Daphnia pulex: one gene and its partner. The protein of the gene in region 2 interacts with the protein of the main gene of each other region in a pairwise test. Links are inferred from orthologs where the notes say so. Each region holds a gene or a part of one and is shown on either strand. Other genes may lie near its edges.

Evidence for each region.
Region 1: the proteins of annexin B9-like (region 2) and programmed cell death protein 6-like interact in binary tests that used the Homo sapiens proteins (3 or more experiments, as listed by UniProt). The link is inferred for Daphnia pulex from reciprocal best matches to the Homo sapiens genes ANXA11 and PDCD6.

Annotation. Positions count from the first base shown.
Region 1 is NC_060019.1:5,644,601-5,654,603, reverse strand, and holds programmed cell death protein 6-like, read right to left. Parts: upstream 6,157-10,003; 5' UTR 5,881-6,156; coding exon 5,801-5,880; intron 5,729-5,800; coding exon 5,622-5,728; intron 5,532-5,621; coding exon 5,379-5,531; intron 5,313-5,378; coding exon 5,197-5,312; intron 5,119-5,196; coding exon 5,017-5,118; 3' UTR 4,853-5,016; downstream 1-4,852. Other genes in the region: PHAF1 protein CG7083-like, read left to right, coding at 1,600-1,663, 1,815-1,897, 1,962-2,089, 2,158-2,534, 2,599-2,714, 2,776-2,871, 2,939-3,021, 3,102-3,195 and 3 more. UniProt on the Homo sapiens protein: Calcium sensor that plays a key role in processes such as endoplasmic reticulum (ER)-Golgi vesicular transport, endosomal biogenesis or membrane repair.
Region 2 is NC_060024.1:10,607,992-10,617,052, reverse strand, and holds annexin B9-like, read right to left. Parts: upstream 7,271-9,061; 5' UTR 7,254-7,270; intron 7,194-7,253; exon of another isoform or gene 7,143-7,193; intron 7,052-7,142; exon of another isoform or gene 6,890-7,051; intron 6,790-6,889; exon of another isoform or gene 6,759-6,789; intron 6,688-6,758; exon of another isoform or gene 5,897-6,687; intron 5,765-5,896; exon of another isoform or gene 5,648-5,764; intron 5,589-5,647; 5' UTR 5,372-5,588; intron 5,308-5,371; exon of another isoform or gene 5,305-5,307; 5' UTR 5,233-5,304; intron 5,167-5,232; 5' UTR 5,115-5,166; intron 5,050-5,114; 5' UTR 4,702-5,049; intron 4,686-4,701; exon of another isoform or gene 4,661-4,685; intron 4,451-4,660; 5' UTR 4,378-4,450; coding exon 4,369-4,377; intron 4,307-4,368; coding exon 4,130-4,306; intron 4,061-4,129; coding exon 3,856-4,060; intron 3,787-3,855; coding exon 3,707-3,786; intron 3,623-3,706; coding exon 3,550-3,622; intron 3,462-3,549; coding exon 3,288-3,461; intron 3,217-3,287; coding exon 3,141-3,216; intron 3,077-3,140; coding exon 2,971-3,076; and 4 more. Other genes in the region: WD repeat-containing protein 76-like, read left to right, coding at 7,821-8,275, 8,331-8,455, 8,512-8,778, 8,846-9,021. UniProt on the Homo sapiens protein: Binds specifically to calcyclin in a calcium-dependent manner. Required for midbody formation and completion of the terminal phase of cytokinesis.

The DNA of each region.
Region 1 (10,003 bases), on a different chromosome or scaffold from region 2:
TGATCGAAGAATCAAGAATTGTAAGGATTCTGTTGGGAAAGAGAACGCTTAAGGCACTGATCGCAGTAATTCCTTGCCTTGGATTGTTGTTCGTGAGCCAAGGACATCAGGGAAGGAAAAAACAGCAGACAGCTGTGACGTAATGAATGGTCACCATATGCAGCCATAGCTACAGTAATACAGTATGCTACTGAAGTCGATAACGCATGGTATCACTTATCAAATCGACCAAACTGTAGACCGAAACCAACAAGAAATGGAGCAAGTACCGAGGTTTAAATTATTCAGCCTTTCTCAATATAACGGAATAATTGGCCTTCATTACTAGCCCGTAGACTCATTTTTTTTTCAAGGGCTCCGCAACTAAAATTGTATTCAAAATAAAAGAAAAACAATATTTCCACTTGAGCTGATAAGGAGAAGATAAGGGGAAGAAAAAAGGGGGAAGAGTTGAGTGTGAAAAGCCGTTTCCTGGATTCTTCAGTCCCTCGCCTTTGAATTTGGCCTGTAAGAAAAAAAGAAAGCCTAGCCTACCCCAAAATTAAAAAAAAAAAAAAAATTTTGCTTAAAATAAGGAAATAGTACTGTACATTTCAATTGCTAACCCCTTGATTTTTTTAAAAGCCAAAAAAATTCTGACAAAAATAAAAGAATAAATTCATATGAAAAAAAAAATCCCCTTTAAGGACAGTATAATCTAATTCATTTCTCTGTCAGTTTGTCTATTTCAGTTGCAATGGTGCATGGTTTCTTAGCCACTTTTGGTCTACGTGACAAATTTATAGTTGCCGTGGGGCGTGGGCGGGGAAAAAATCTTTTTCCTTAAGGTTAAACAAAAATTCCCTTCTTTTACGAAAGATCGGCAAATTATAGCACAACAAGTAAACATATGAACGGGAAAATATCTTTACTGCAGGATAATTTGGCATTAAATATTAATACAAGTTAGCTACAAGATTACAAGACGATGAAAAAATTAACAAATTCAAACGACAGCTAGCTACCATAAAAAACGAAACGAAGAATAGCAGCTCAATCGAAGCCAAAAATATAATATCAAACTTCCGCAACCAGAAACCTCAAAAAGAAATTATGCCGAATAATTGCAGTAGATAATATTTGTAGGTTTCACAGAAGTATTCAAGGTAGAATCGAAATCTTACCGTTTAATTAATGCTAACAGCAACCTCGACATTCCAGCTTTTGAAGAGTATTGATTAACAAAAGAAATGATCTACAAAATTAGTAGCAAATTACTAGTAAACGTGACTGAGATACAACAACGTGATTCTAATGGACAACAGCTACCACAAAAACCGCCGAACTACTTAATTAAACTCTGAAAGTCTGAATATTAGAATGGACATTGGATTTTGGATTGTCGATCGATTGTATAGCCTTCAAGGCTTTCAACAGCTGTTTGGGAACGGAATTTGACATATTTACATTGGTTGCCTTTTTCTCCACTAGATGACGGCTGTTCCACAACAAAGAAAAACCAAAACATTATTATTGTTTTCAGCGTTTTCAGTCCTCAGTGTTGGGTTCGACTGAACGGAAATTACGTTTCAACAATATTGCAAAGTTCTTAATCTTAAGATGCTTGATTTAGAAGTAATCCCTGAGAGATCGTTGGGTTGCGAACATTGGGAGTTTATATTAGGTAAGGTTTAGAGGAAAAAATTCTCTGAGATTAGTAATCGTTTTTGGTTCTTGAATTGCAAAATATTCGTTATGCCATTGAGTGTACACAAGCATACGGAATCGCACAGTATACTTATATTGGTTTGTGTACTTTTCAATCTTCATTATAGGAATGCAGTTTTCTCAAGCAGTTTGCATCTGCATGTCTCAGGTAGCAGTTATGAAGAGAGTCCAAGTAATATATAATGAGAATGTAAGTAAAATCTTTTAGCATACACACACAAACTTCGTGAACATACATGTTATTTGCTGTATAGGACCCTTTGGCTTCTGACCTTATTTTAAGTCTTACTTTGGATGGAATTCGCCTTTTATTTGATTCAGTTTCACAGCGCCTAAAAGTGATTGAGATTTTTGCCATGAATCTCATCAAACTGAAATACTGGTAATAGTAAAAATATTTTAAAATTTAGACAAGATTAGGAGAAATAATCATGCCCTATTTTGATATAGTGGCCTGGTTTTCAATTCAACTGATGTTATCCCAACCATAGATCAAATAGATCATTCTTTTGGAGCTACACACCCTGGAATATATGATCCTGAGAAAAGAATCTTTACTCTAAATTTCCGTGGCCTATCTTTTACCTTTCCAGTTGAACAGGCTAGCGAACCGAGATACGTTCGAGGACTTGGATCGCTTCAATTCACCAACGGCGCGTCTCCTATAGCAACAAAGATGTTCATTTTCAGTGGAAACAGCTTGGTTGACAGCAAACCACCTTCGCTACCGATATCCTGCTTTTTTTCTCATCCTTATCTGCAATGGCTCGAAGTTATTCGTCATAATGGATGTACATCTGGTATCAAGCTCTCCATTATTTGTGAAGGTTCGGCTCAAACATTGATAAATTTAGAAACTAACTTTCAAATCAATGTAATTTTGCGTTTTAGGTCCATCTCAAGTATTGGAACCTAGACGACATGCCTGTGTCCAGGAATTATTTTTTGGAGCTTCTGCCGAAGATGTGCTTACGCTGTTGGGAGCTCCATCTCGCGTGTTTTATAAAGTAAAATGTGCAAATATATGTACATGCACTTTATAAATTTAATTCTTATCGTCGATGGTAGGACGAAGACAAAATGAGGATTCACAGTCCACAGGCGCATCGTCGAGCTCCAGCTTCTTTTTCGGATTATTTTTACAACTACTTCACTCTTGGATTAGTATACTTAAAATTATTCTAGATTTCATTTTTAAAAGTTTCATTACAAATTTCCCGTTTTAAAAAAGGATGCTTTATTCGATGGGAAATATCACAAGTTGAAGAAGTTCGTACTGCATACGAATTATCCAGGACATTACAATTTCAATATGTAAGTGAAACATTTTGCAGTGAATGCGTGGGAGCTGGTCAATGCTTAATTATTTTTTTTTAAAATTCTCTCTCAATTAGGTATCACCGATGTGAGTTTAAGCTCCAGTTGCCGACCAAGGCCACTTCCGTCGATAATTCGAGATTGGTCGATTTATCGCCGACATTTATCACTGTTGGTTTTCAATTCACATATATGTTCTTGCGTGAAACCAATGTCATAAATTATTTACGAATGTAGGTATCTGCTTATTCACGTTGGGATGAAGTTTGCGAGAAAGTGCAGCCTAGTTCACGTCCGATTGTTTTACATCGATCGTCATCGACGAATACAACAAACCCCTTCGGTTCTACGTTCTGCTACGGGGTTGAGGATATTATTTTCGAGGTGAATAACGATTTTTAGATTCCTAAAATACTGAAAGCTTTTAATGAATTTCTCTTTTTGAATGTAAGGTGATGCCAAATAACCTTATAGCATCTGTAACGCTTTACGCATCCGATGATATCTCGCATGAATTACAATCGTAAAAGGATATTAGTCCTATAATTGGAAAATTTTATTACCAATATAATATAAACAGGATTTTTGTATTTGCCCAGGAAACAGACTGACGCCATGAATTGATCTTAAGTGCGCATCTCTTTCGTGATTGTATGTTGTTTGAACGCAAAATAATGTAATAAAACACACTAAACATTAAGCACCAATTACTTTTCCAATGTTAATGTCTTATTCAAACATTCATATAGCTAGTTTGGAGTTTGGACTAGCCTATAAGACAATCAGTTATTGTGATGGCTGTGCGTTATGAGTTCAGGAGTAAAAAAAAAGAAGTTTGAATTGATTGTTCTGATAAAAGAGTAAATTGTAACAGTGTATATTGAAATATGTGTAGCACCCTTGTAAAATTTCGAAACATAGGGTAAAAGGTCTTTGCATGCCTCCATTTTTCACGATAACTCAGAAGTCAGAACGTTTGATTTATCGCATCATCAATCTAAAAAAATAAAATAAAATAAAATAACTTATATCATGAAACTAAATGCGTCTGGTTATTCTAGAATACCACGATGATGAATAAAGAATTAACGGTACAGAAAATAAAGGTCCAAGATAGGCTACATGTATAAACGAAATAACGTGCGCTCAATAAAAATGAAGTTGTTGAATAACAATACGACTGCTAAATATTTACTATTAACACAAATGCTATAATTAATAAACTGTTCTGTAATGTTGCCAACTATCCTATACATTCATCGCGGAAATATTTTCTACAATTTGGTGACGTAGGCTAATAAGTATGGGTTATGTCGATTTGAGGACAAACCTGACTACAATGACAATAAATTACTCGTACCCTCGTAAACTTCCCGTTTACGCCCAAAAAAGAATCTGAACATATAAAGTTGCAGAAGTGAATGATAAGCTAAATAATCACTCACTTTTACTAACATCAATTTTTGTTCATGGTTAAATTCTATTTCCGTATTCTATTTTCTGGATTGTCAGGGAAAAAATATTGGAAACATGTTAAAAAAGTCGAATAGAATAGGGCAGGCACACTTTACCTCTACGACAATGCGCTGGCATAACAGACCTTCTAAAATGACTCATTTTATCTTGATTATATCGCTTTATCTTTACACGACAGATACGAAATAGATGCCCTATTGCTGTAGTTTGTTTACAGTGCGTTGTGTGCTATTACGAAAAGTTCCGTTGCTGTGTACGATTGATGCTGATCCTTGAGCAACAATATTATCAAGCAATCAGATCGCACACAAGGTGTTATACTGATTCACACAGTAGTTATATCACAGTAAAATAACATTTCATATGCAAGTTTATTCAAAAGGGAGAAGAGTTCAATCAACTGCCAGGAAAAATCAAGATATTGGCTGTTACAGAATCTCTATATGAGCAAAGAAACATACACAAACAGCAATAAGGAAGTGGTAAATTTAGTAGCTTAGGTATATTAGCTGAAACTTATACGCGGGTGTTGAGGACCATTTGAAGAAAATGTTCATATCCGATAGTAATGACACCGTCTTGATCGGTATCGAATTGACGAAACGCTGAAGTCAAGTTCTGTCATTGAAAACAATATAGATATATGAAAAAATGATACTTTCATTTAAATCATAGATATGTAAAAATCTTTCTTACATGTAAAACGATGCAACACTGAATGAAATCATCAAAATATATCGTTCCTTTTCCCATACGATCGAATTTTCGAAGCAACATATGATGAGTTCCGTCTTGCAAACGATAGCCGAAACCTATATTAACACAAAAGAACACTTAGTATATTTAAAAATTGTCAGCCAACTTTAATGACAAACTACTTGTAAGTGCTGTTCTTAGTTCATTGCCATCAATGTTCCCCGAATTATCTCTGTCAAAACTTCTAAAGCAAGTTTGCCAATCAGTGACATACTTCCAGATTGCTCCAAAATCTTCAAAGGAAATAGTTCCTCTTTGTTGACGATCAAACATACCTGTAGTAGTGCACAATTCAAAACGGAACATTAGTACAAAGGGATACAAAATTATCATTAATGCCTCTCATACAGCTGTCAAACACATACCAATCATAAGTCTAACAGTTTCCGAGTTAAATGGAGCCCATGTTCCATTGGATAGAGCTGATTGCAGCTCTTCGGCAGTTATTGCTCCACTTCTATCTTTGTCAACTCTAAAAATTTCAATAAATATATTTTAGTTGTAATTTTCTCCCTGAATTTAACCCACAACAAAATTGTTTAACCTTTGAAACACCTGCCAAAGAAAATCACGATTTGGAGCAGCTGGAACCGCACCCGGCCCTTGATAGTGCTGATAAGCCATTGTGTAGACTAAACGCGACTAAACGTTTATAAATAGAATTCACTCAAGTACAATACGTTTTTTAAACTGCCCGATACCAAAGGGTGTTATTAATAAGTAAAGGGATTTTTTTGTAGTGGCCAACAGTCAACTTAATTCACTGAGTTGCACTGAATCAACTTGATGTCTCAATCATTGATGACTCAACACTCAACAGTCAATCCAAGTCCAAAGTCGAAACCCATGAGCCATGACTGCTGTAAAATAAAGACAGGAGTCTTGGACGATAATCGACGATCCGTATGTTTAGGGCTGTGGCCCGGGACGTTTTTAGCGGGTTTTTTTTCAATGGGTTTTTTAGATGGGTTTTTCTTCTTCCGCGGGTCGGAGCGGGTTGGGCCAACTGAGTGAACGGGTTTGGCCCGGGCCAACCCATGGGTCAAAAAATTTTTACCGGTCGGGTAACGGCCCGGGTAAAAAATCGGGTCAAACACACTTTTTTTTTTACAAACTTAAAAAAATTCCCTAAATTTCTTAATTATCTTCTTCTTCTAACAGTGACACGTCAATTCTGTCTTCTGAACACCCCTGAACGCCCTTTTCTACCACTTATCCTACTTTTCATGCTACGAAATTATCGTAGAGCATTTGGCGGCAATATTTTGAGGCCGCAGGCATAGAGAATAACGAGCTTCTCTATGTGACTACTAGATGGCGCCACCGCTCGGGTTGGCCCGCGGTACCGGGAGTTCAACCCGTCGCCCGCCCCGTTAAAAAAAATGCCTCGATGGGTCGAGTCGGGTTGGGTTTTTTTTCGTTCAGCCCGGGCGGTGGCCCGGGTTTTCATCGCCCGGGCCACAGCCCTATATGTTGGCTCTATAATTTTTTTGTGGGTAAATCAGATTTTACAAAAAAAAAAAAATAGTTATTGGCTTGCTAAATGTTTCTATTACTGATAATTAATATAACGAGAAATTTAAGTATTTGTTCAGAAGAATTTGAAAAAGGGAGAAACGCCGGTGCCATCTAGGTGCCAAACATACTGAAAACCAGTTTACGCGATCGATTAGTTTATCACGATTGATCGCTTATTTTTTTCTGATCAAGAGGAAGCGGTTGACCTAAAGACCACTAATTATAAAGACCCGTGGTCTTTATCTATGACATCACACCAATTTTTCAATTTATAGAGCGTGATCGAGATCGAATCGATAATCAAATGCTAAAAAAAAAGTACGCTAAAAAATCGAGTACGCTACAGTTCGAGTCCATCCGCTATCAATCGAGTACACCACAAGTCCACAAGTTATAAACAATTTTGTTATAAATAATGGTAATAGTTTCATCAACAATAGGGTAGAAGGCCTAGAAGCATGAAAAATAATTAATTTTTGTTTTGAATCCTCCTTATAGATGTTATTCCAACCAAAAAGTAGTAGACATGCCAAAAAGTCGTGCGCAGTTTACGCCGGTGCACACCACTGCGGGTCTGCGGCCGATAGCAGAACGACAATTTTTATTACGCTTGACAGATGACGTAGGTACAATCCTTTGTTCGAGAAGCAGACAGTTCTGGAACAAAGGATTGTACCTACGTTAAGTGTCAAGCGTAATAAAAATTTCATTCTGCTATCGGCCGCAGTGGTGCGCATCGGCGTAAACTGCGCACGACTTTTACTCAGAGATAAGGAGATGGGCCACTCTGTGTAAAGTCCAGTAGTCGACTTTTTCCCCCCTCCTCCTCCTTTTCGACTGCCCTGCTCCTTTCGGCGAGCTCCGGAAGCATTTCCCAGTAGTTCTCCCCCTTCAGGACCGCCCCTACCACCAAGTAAGGTAAAGCTTCCGGAGCTCGCCGAAAGGAGCAGGGCAGTCGAAAAGAAGGAGGAGGGGAAGTCGACTGCTGGACTTTACACAGAGTGGCCCATCTCCTTATCTCTGCTTTTACTCGACTACTACTTTTAAGTTGGAATAACATCTATACAACTTTTTTTTTACTCTCCTTTGCGCCCCTTGCGGAAACCAGCTTAGTTCCACTAAATATGAAGGCCGATATGACTTCTATGGGTCTAAAATGAAGGCCAACAGATAAAACCTTCTGCTTGCTTCCGGAAGGAGCGCGGCAGTGAGAACAAAATATGGGTGCCAGGCAGAGAGGGAAAAGGGAAAAATGAGCCTCTCAGGAAATTAGTCATATCTCAACCAATAAAATCCGGAAAGAAAATTCCTTTTGGATTTTAATGGTTGAGATAGCAATAAACCTTTCTATAAAATAAGTTTCTGCTATAGCCCCTATACCTTTCAGAAAAGCGATGTCAAAGTACCCCCCATTTCTGATAAATAAAAAAAAACTCAAACTTTAACGCTTAATATCTCGTAAACGGGTGGGAATTTCGTCTTTCTGCAAACGCAAGTAAATCCGGCGTGTAGAGACAAAAATGACAACATATATTTTTTATATTTCAAATTCCTTTTCCGGATATAAATCTGGAAAGCTGCTCCGGGATTTCGGTCTACCTGAGTCATGGATCGCTTGTTAAACATGAAAATCATTTTGTCAAAATGTTAAGGGTTTTTGGTTTCTAGAAGAGTTATGACCCATGTGAGGATCGATCCATTGATATACGCCATTCCAGGCCATTTCTCTACCACCAAGATACGGATAATTTTTTTTATAACGCAATATGAGTCCCGTTCCTTCGGGGGTTTATTTACATCATTTATTACTACAACTAATTTTAAAATTCTGAAATTGGCATCAATGTCCAAAGTGCAGACGACGGGAAGTGTTGGATTGTTGTTGCGTAGTGCTAACAACGTGCGTCACCAAACAGTGAAATAATATCAGACAACTTTAATGGCGTCGTCTCAGAGAAATGGGAAATTTCGTGAGTTTCGCGGGTTGACAACTACTTCGAAACTTTTCTCGGAAATTCGATTTAAATGTTTTCCAAAAAATCCCTCATTCCCTCCTACATAATATATTACCTCCGGTTCGTCACCAGTAACAGAAAAATTATTTTCCTTTTGCCCAATTAATGAGTGAGTGTTAATGATTTGACCCGCGGAAAAAATTACGTGGAATTAAACTATTGTTAAAATATTATGGAAAAACCAATTGTGGTGGAAATTTTAATTATTATTTTTAGCATTAAGAGCAATTTAACTACAATGAAGTTCGTTTACTGCTTCTCTGCCTTTTTAACAAGCTTCTAAAGGTGCGTTTACACTGGAAGGAACGCAACGTTAATTACGGAGTATAGCGAAACTTTGTGTGACGGAGGAATCTGCAATAAAAAGTTTCGCTACACACACAAACACTACTAATAATATTATAAGATTTTTCTGTAAGCTCTCCTGACATGATAAGATGTACGCGAAGTCAAACCCGTTTTCTCAAGGTATACATAGAATATAACAATATAAGTGATATATAGATTGGTTGGTGTAATGTTTAGAAGAGTTCTAACTTGCTATAGACCTTTTTCCATTTGGTTCGGGTAAGTAGAGCGAAAAGTCGTGCGGCTAGTCGACTAGTGCGCACCATGGCGGGGGATAGCCGAAACTTGCTGCAGACTTTGCTTGATCCGGTCAATACCCCACGTAAGGCCATGTACTGTAACCTGTCAGGCTGTAACCCGAACCAAATGGAAAAAGGTCTATAGTACTATAAGACGAAGGTTCTTGGAGCAGATTCTTGGAGTTGGAATCAAAACGGAAAAGCAGCTGCATGTACGACTTAGTTGGATGCTTATAGACATCCAGTTTTATTGACCATTACAGCGACTACGACGAACTAAGCGGCTACCTCAGAACCATCGACAGCAACATCGTGTGCTGTGGAATGAATCCTGCAACAATGCTCCGTTACAAAAGTTGGTGATGTTGGTCGGTTAACACGTTCTAGCTGCTTCTAGCACATTAGAAAAGTGAGCTTTGCACGGGATGGTCTAATGCGTTGGAATACTCGTGGAAGGGATCCCTAAATAAAAAGAAGAGATTTGCGTGGAATATAGTTCCTTCGAATCAAATCATAATAAATAAGGTCTGGTTATTTAAAAAAAAGTCAACTTTTCCTTTGTCATGGACAACATTTTGGCTTCCACAATTGAACTTTAGTGTTGGCCTTGGAAAACACTATCGTTTC
Region 2 (9,061 bases):
CATTTCGCCCGTCTCTCGTAGCAGGGCCTCTGTTGCAGTGTCCCTTGGCTCACCCACCACTGTTCTCAGCGCTTGTGCTTGGATTTTGTCCAGTTTTTTCTTTGCTGTGATAGAGGCGGACTCGATGAGTTCTCCTCCATAGTCGAGTTTTGAGCGGATCAGAGCCTGGTAGATTTGTAGCATGGGCTTTGCGTGTGCGCCCCATTTCGTTCCAGATATGAGGCGTAGTAAATTTAAAACTTTTGAGCACTTGCTGACGACGTCGTCTATTTGTTTGCACCAATTTAGTTTGCTGTCGAGTGTCATGCCCAGTAGTTTGATTGACTTTTGCACTTGGATGCTAGCTCCGTCTACTGTGATGCTCAAATTTTCGGGTATATTCCGCTTGGAAAAAACTATTTCTCCGGTTTTTGCTGCCGAAACTAGGAAGCCCCATAGTCTGAGCTCGACGATAACATCTTGTGTGTCCTTTTCTACCTTTTTTCTCAGGAAGTGTAAGTTTCGGTGCTTCTGCCAGATGAAAATGTCATCGGCGTACATTCCCGACATACAGGAGCGGCGTTTCTTGGCAATGTCGTTAATGAGGATGATGAACAATAACGGGCTGATGACACTTCCTTGTGGTGTGCCGTTTAGGCAGGAGAAGAGCTCGGACCGAGTTCCATTTAACGATACTTGTGCTGTCCGACCGACCAAAAAGGAGGTAATCCACTTGAGCATGTTGCCTCTTATGCTGAGCTTTTTGAGCTTGTAAATTAGTCCTTTTATCCAGATCATGTCGTAGGCTTTTTCAAGATCGAGCGTGACTGCCATCACATATCCTTTGTTGTTTAGGGCTGATTGGACCGAATTTTCGAGCCTCACTAAATTGTCCATAGTCCCTCTGTTTCGTCGGAAACCACTTTGATTTGGGGCGAGGAGGAGATTTTTCTCAAGGTACCAAGAGAGTCTGATTTTAATCATTCTCTCCAGGACCTTGCATGGCACCGGGGTAAGCGAGATCGGCCGGTATGACTCCGGTTTCGATGCAGTTTTGTTTGGCTTCAACAAGGGGATGATCAGCGAGTGCTTCCATCCTTTCGGTAGCGTGCCTTGTTTCCAGGACTCGTTGTACAGGGCCAGTAGCGTACGTAGGGCTGTATCCGGTAGGTGGCGTAGCATTGATAAAGATATTCGGTCGCTTCCCACTGCTGTATCTTTTGCTTCTTTTAGGGCGGTCGTCAGCTCTTGCATTGAGAAATCTGCATTCATTTCTGCGTCTTCTATCCGTCCGTCCGGCTCGTCCGCTTCACCATCTTCCATGGACTGTTCGGAAATTCGGCGGTGTTGGAGAAAGGATTCTGATAGGTTGGTGTCACTACTCACTGCTTTGTAATGCTTTGCAAATAGGTTGGCTTTTGCTGATGACTCCGTAACACACGTCCCATTTTTGTCGAGTAGCACCGAGATCGGTTTTGTTTTGTTGTTTCGCCCCAGCATTTGGTTGGTTTTTTCCCAGAGATCACGGGACGTTGTGTTCTTGTTTATTGTGCTACAGTGAGCTCGCCAGTGCTCTTTCTTCGCGTTTCGCATCACCGATCGGCTTTTGTTACGTAAAGTGCTGTATATTTTGTAGTCGTCTGGATTTCTTGATGCGTTTGCTCTCACCCAGGCCTTTTCTTTTTCTTTGATGGCGTCTGCACACGCTGCATTCCACCATGGGACGCCCGGCTTGTGGTGTCCTTGTCGCACGACTGGGATGTGGTTGCTGGCTGCTAGGATGATGGCGTGAGTCACATTGTTATTGAAAACATCAATATCGGTACAGCAAAATCGACTGATTTTGCTTCGCCTTTTCTCTCTCCTTTTATACGATTTTTTCTCACCATTCCCCTCCTAAGCCTTGCGGCTATTGTACCTGCCTGATAATTATGAAAACGTCCCGTTCTCACCCAACCTCTACACCACATGACACATTTTAAGTAATGATCTCCGTGACCTTCGGAAGTGAAGGAAAATTTTCTTTCCTTCTTTAGGTAGATGTTGCTGGGGATGGGTATATCAAAATATCAATATCAAAATGAATACCAAATAGCTATGTAACACGTGTCGTTCTCACCCAACCTCTACCCCACTGCATGACACGTTTTACGTAATGATCTCCGTAACCTTCGAATGTGAAGGACATGCAAACTGGCCTTTCCTTCTTTAGGTTGGCGTTGCTGGGTAGGGTAACCAATATCAAAATGAATATCAAATGGTTATGGCTTAAACTCTCTTTTTTACCAATTGACATTTGAGTAATTTAACGCGTTTCTTCGGTGAATGAGTGATGTTCTTTAACCATGCTTTAACTAAAAAGTGTCATATTATATTTAACTTACGAACTAGATTATATCTTACTTTACTTTAAGAACTTTAATTTTGATCGAAATATCAAATCACGGAAAAGAATTTACAAATTATTTTTCGTTCAGAAATTCAATTGGTAGTCCGTTCCGATTACGTCAAGGAAAGATTTTTTAACATTTTTGAGGCAACTCTTCATTCCTATAAACGCTGTAGATTTCACTCCGGAGAAACTGATCTGTGCTCATTGAGACGAAGGTGTAGGCTAATCAAATATTACCCAGAACTATAATCTATAATGCCCGAGTGGCTTCCCAAATCACAGTGCGTTTACTGCATATTTAGTCAAGAATTAGCAAATTAAAGAAACAGATTTAAGACACTTATTATTCTTAAACAATTGTAACTATTTCGGCAACAATTATTCCATAAACATGATTATAATGAAAGAAATTTTTTGTTATGGAAGTATTAAAGATAACTCAGATATAACTCAAATGTAAAGAATATAGTTTCCTATTACATTTTCAGCCGAGAAGAGCCAGAAGTGCCCTTCGGTAATCACCTGAAGAATCGCCCTACGAAGAAATCGTAATTTTCTTTCAAAGTTTATTGAAAAGAAAAGTAAAAGCATTTCAGTACCGAAAGATCAGCTTGAAGACTACGGCTGAATTTCCTTTCATACTCTTGTTTTATGTTGTTGAGATCAACATCACAACGACCAACGATTATACGAATAAGGTTACGACTGAATAAGTAAAATATATATGTCAATTAAATTCAGTGAAAAATCAATAAAGATTAGGTCATACTCGTTTGTGCCCAATCCATCAATGGCGTGATGTAGGCGATGAGCGAAATATTCATGTCTGTTTTTGGCACATTGCACTGGCAGAATGTTAACAATATTGTGAAGTCATGCAAGAAGTAGGAATTTCGTAGGAAGCTGTGACACTTACATATTGTTAAAAGACCCCTCTCTGCGTTGAACGAAAACTCCGCCTTCAAAGCACGTTCCAAAGTGTGGCCGTGCATATTGTGATACTCGGAAATAACCTGACGTAAATGAGGCCAACTGCGAGAAGCAAGGATAGAATGAAAAACACTTTCATCTGTTCCTATCTTAGCCGCTCCTGGAAATAAATAAAGCGGATATTTTAACTGACAGAGGCTATAAGTTATCGATCACTTGATATACAGAAATGCAGTTAATAAAATTACCTGCTTGAAACAAAAGATGGGCATCCGCTCTAGCCTCGTAAACATCAACCGCTTGATTCTCATCTCTTTGACCCTACAATTAAATTAAATACAAAAAAATAAACTCAGGACATATAAAATCGAATAACGGAGAACATTAAATCAGCAAGAACTTCACCTGGACCATTGAAACGAGAAGCAATTCAAATTCACCAGAAGTATCTCCCTTGATATCCTTCTCCATAGAGTGCCCGTACACTTGACGAAAAATTTAGCCACAAATAACAATCTAGAACGTAATAAAACCTGTCGATTTCTAATTCTCACATCGTTGGTAGGCAGCGTTCATTTCGCGAATCTCCTGGTTAGTCCCGCTACAAAGAACTTCAATGAGCGTATCTTCATTGGTCCCCATTCCACTGATAGCATGATGAACTTCACGTGCCATAAATTCAGCTATAGGAAGGCAGAGGGCAACCATTAACTTTTCAAAACAACCGCTTAATTCGCTCTTTAATGCCGACTCCAGATCCTAATTTTTACATTACGAGCTCAAATTAAAAAAAAAAAAAAAAAATTATACATATTGTTGCCAAATAACCTTTCCATAGCCTGCCTTGTAGGCAAGATTTATTGACGCGCGCTGGTCACAGGTGCGATGGCACAGAATACTTATCAGAGCTTTTTCGTCCGTACCGAAACCTTTCATTGCTTTCTGAAGCGCATCAGCATCAGCTCGGGGATTAAACGATGAAGCCGGAAATATAGTAGGAATATTCTGAAAATGAAGTTTCGAGTTCAAATTATTTGACAAATTTACAATATAATCAGTATGCTTACTTCGCCCATTTTTTAATGCTGAATATTAAAGTCTGAAAACAGCCCTGTAATGCTGCGTGAAGCGGATGTGTTGTTTTAAGTGCTGCAGAAAAACAAATAGTCGATAAAATTTTGTCCAGATAATAAAATCATTTAATATTACAATTAATTTTAGACAAGAAATATTCTAAGGTTGTTGCTTCAACATTCAACGCTCTTATCTATAGGCTACAATTTATATGAGATAAATTTCTTTTAAGGTTTAGAAAAAACAAGTTTAAAACTTTTAATGACAATTCTGAAATTATCTCACCAAAATAAGAAATCAATCCTAAGTAGAAATGAGATAATTACCTGCTTCAAAGTAATTTAAAATGAACGTCGGTTATTTATGAAAATCATATAAAAAGTGTACACAGAGTAGAAGAGAAACTCTAACGCGGCTAGTGAACAAACTCAACTAGCGTCGCGAGTGTAAGTTTTCTACCTGCTATAGAGGGCTACAAGTCGCATTCACGAAAACAAAACGGGAAAGGAAAACCAAACAGTGACAAAGAAAACAGGTAAAATCCGACCGAATCCGACTTGTTGTTGGCTTGTACTCTAAGACGGAAATTTCCTCGTGAAGTCTGGAACGCAAATAGTAGAATTCTACTTCCTGTTTTCATACCGCACCGTTTTCCTTGTTACGGATAATTTATACTTGGAACACATCAGAACTTTTTAATTCATTCTTTACTTTTGACTTGATAAGAATGTGTACCAACCTTTATCACAAATATTAATGAATGCAGTTATTCAGCAGCATTTGATTAAATTCTGTAATTCCAAAATCAATTATGATCCTATGTGTAAATTATTCTTATCGTCAAAGTGTTTGTTTACCCTTTAAATTTGTTTTAGATTACATTCACATCAGTTTGCTAAATGTTACATAGCAATGCCCAAAATTTAACCCTACTGAGAATCCACAAATAAACTTTTCAACAATATGTTACAACTTACAGCAATTAATGTTACATACCTTCGTCCTTCAATCCAGTCTTCCACTCTACCAACTCTACAAAAAGATGCTGATGATATTTCCTTGTCTTTACTCATTTCCATCAACCGACCAAGCAATGTTCTGGATGCAATATGACAAAAGAGAACTTGGGTGTTATGGAAACCACTTGTGTCATGATGTGTAGGAGTGGTTCTAACATGCTGGAACCTCATGGAAACCGTACAAACGCCATCCACTGTTTACAAAAGTCAACAGTTAGAGTATTTAAAATTAACGGACTGTTCTGAAACCAACCATCAGACACTCATTTGACATTGAAGGTGATGACGATGATTATGTAAATTACGTGTGTCTGCCATGTAAAATGTAACCGATCCGACACTGATTCAAGGCCGGCAGCCCGGCACAGATCTCGATTAGTCGATTTCGAAAAATCAAAACAATAAAACTGGCAATCGTCTGAACGACCGACGCTCCATCTATGTTACACCAGGACCGTAATAATAAATTCAAACAAGATCACAACGTTTTCTCTGATATGGTAATAGATACCACTGTAGGCAGCGTACGTACGCCGCAAGGTACCCGAAGGGGATGTTAAGGGTATACTAGTTGGAATAGTAGAATTGCTGTATTGGTATAGTTTTATAAAGGCAGAGCTATAGAATAGTTATAGAATAAAAATAATATTCTGTTATAAAGGTAGGCCTATTATTAAGATTAATTAATAATATTTAAAACAAAAATGTTATGCCCTTAGTTTCCGGAAGAATGTAATATGCAGAAATCGAGAAAGAGATGAAAAGCATATTTCCGCATGTTTCTATCCAAACATTTAATACAAATTCAATTCCCAAAAACCTAATATGATATGGCGCGGCGTAAGGGTAAGGCGTGACTTTGGTGCGGCGGAGGCTTCGCCCCGCCACCCCACGTCACACCGGATGTTGTTAAAATTAAATGTAAGTAACTACCTATCAGCACTTCTTTTACTGGAGATTGATAGCGTTAGGTGCGGTTAGGTAATAACATACAGTGACTTCTATTCTATCATAAGCCTACAATATTACTCCAACAGGATGATAATTTTGAAAAGAAAAATAAGACAGGCTAGAGATGGTCCAACAATCAACGGCGGTACTCTACGCTTTTTCTTCGATCCTGGGTCATGCTGGTCATATTCAATAGAGACGATGCTGTCATCCTGTCACATGTCTCTGTATTATCGTCTGCTCTAACAGCTATTGAAATTCTGTCAAAAAGTAACAAGAACTCCGTTTGATCAAACGCCTGAATTGATTGCAGCCAAATTTTCAGAATAGATGTAAAAAATTGTAAGCTACCGATTGCTGCCATTGAAATGCAATTAAATTGTTGATTACAATCAATAATTGCCAAAAACTAGTGCAGCCATCTATGTTGTGTTACGAGAACTGAGGGTGCCCATGTAAACCATACTGTAAACGAAACTTTGACCAGTAACCCTTCGGGTAATTCAAATGTGCCAATTGAATTTACAGCAAATCTGTAACTACATACTACATGAATGAAAGGATAATAATAATAATAATTCAAATTTAGTTCGACTTTAAAATCGCCGCACTGATGGAGCCAAGAAAGAAGAAACCAGCCAACGAAAAAGGAAGTACTCTAATGACTACAATTAGCCGTGAAAATCGCCAAGCTCTCCCTGCTACTGTACGTATTTTAAATATTGATTTTGATTTTAAAAACTGAGAAGAATATTACGAGTTTCTAAATAATTATTTAAAAAATGTTGGGGATTTAGTTGGATTATCGCAAGCATAAATGTATGGCACCAATTCGAAACCAAGCAGCGGTAATTCTTCGTTTTTCTACAGTTATCCAGAAAAGTTGTTGCGTTTTTAACTATATTTACCTTACTCTTTATGATATTTTTACAGTGTGGAAGCTGCTGGTCCTTTGCTGCCATATATCCACTCGAGTTCTCTGCTTGAGGTTCTATGCTATTTTGGACTTTTGGTCGTGGGTGTTTGTAGCTTTAACCCTGGGTGAATTTCATTTGAAATACATTTAATCAGCAGAAAAAAAAAGAATTCGAATAAAATTATGTTTCCTGGAGCGATTACCATTTATATCCCGATGATGAAAATTTTCCGTAGAGGCTTGCGGGTTTTTTCGAGTGCCAAGTTTGAATCCCGCGGCATTTGAACTGAAAAAAGTCGTCTGCTTAAAAGCTTTTTGTATGTACCTTGGATTTGGCGGCAAATTTCTAGAGCGTGTTTCTGGAACTAGAATTGGAAGATTTCTGCAACGTGTAAAATACAATCACCTATCGTGCTTCGTAAAATTATGGTGTTCCATTGTACGGGACTAATTTTTTAAACATTCAATCTATTATAATCATCGATACTAGTGAGTTATTCGTTACTAAATTGCCTTGTAGATGACCTCTAAATAATACGTATTTTTTTTTTGCTTAGAAATGGCAAGAAGGAGTGCAAGAGTGTCAGAAAAATTATCAGTCCAGTCTCCTCCACCAAGAAATGTAGATTCTTCTCCTAAAACGAAGACAACAATTAAAAACTACTTCACAGTTCTTGATCCATATGTTTCTATTGAAAAATTGAATCTGGAAACTCCCCAAAAAACATCACCAACCAAAAAAGTGATCAAAGATGAACGTGAATCCTCTGAGGGATCTAATGAGGAAAATGAAACACCTGTCAAAAAAAGTGAAAAAAAGACAGAAAATGTGATTACAAAAGCCAATTCTGAAATGTCAGAATATGAAAAGGAAATTCAACGAAACATTGAAGAAAGAAGGAAAATGTTCCAAGAACTTGTTGGGGACGCCAAAAAGGATTTTGAGAGTGAAGTAATTAGGGAGAAGGTAAACAAAGCCACTCAACGTGGACTAAAAAGGAAAATGGATGAAAGGTATGTAATAACTTGAATTGATTGCAGAAAAGATTTACAAACATATTTTGCATAGCATTGAAGTCCCTCCCTTGAGAATGTCTTTACGAAGCAGAAAGCCACCTAAAGAAGAATTTGTCATTATGAAAGATAACGATGAAATCAAGCAATGGCCTAGTAATCCCAAAGTTAATAAATCAGGTAAATGCAGTAAAGTTTTTTTGTTATAAGCTAAGCCTAAAAATCTTTAATTTTAGGTACCTTTACATTAGCTGATGCCTACTTGGACCAAGAGTCAATTGATGACAGCAAATTTATAGAAGAAATGATTCCTTTGTTGGAAAAAGAGGGTGAATTAGAAAAATTACCTGCAGATCAACAAGATTTCTTGAAATTGATGAAATCCTTCAGCATTAACGAGGAAGGAGTAGCCAAGGTGTCCAAGTCTCGAATTTATTCCCTTGTTTGGCATCCGAGTAACTGCAAGCTCCTTGTTGCCGTCGGTGATCGTGATGGGAACATTGGTAATGACATACATTGCTTGTTTTCTGCCAAGTGAAACAAATTGTCAAATCTCATTAATTTGCACAGGTTTCTGGGATATTGATAAGCTTGACGACAAACATCAAGGCGTTCGGGCGTTTAAGGTTCACAACCAACCAATCAACTGCATAACTTTCGATAAGTTTAACTCAACAAGATTGCTAACCACTAGCTACGATGGTTATGTCCGATGCTTAGATTTGCATTCCAACGTGTTTGATGAGGTAATATACTTGAAATAGGAACATGAATCAGAAATTTGTG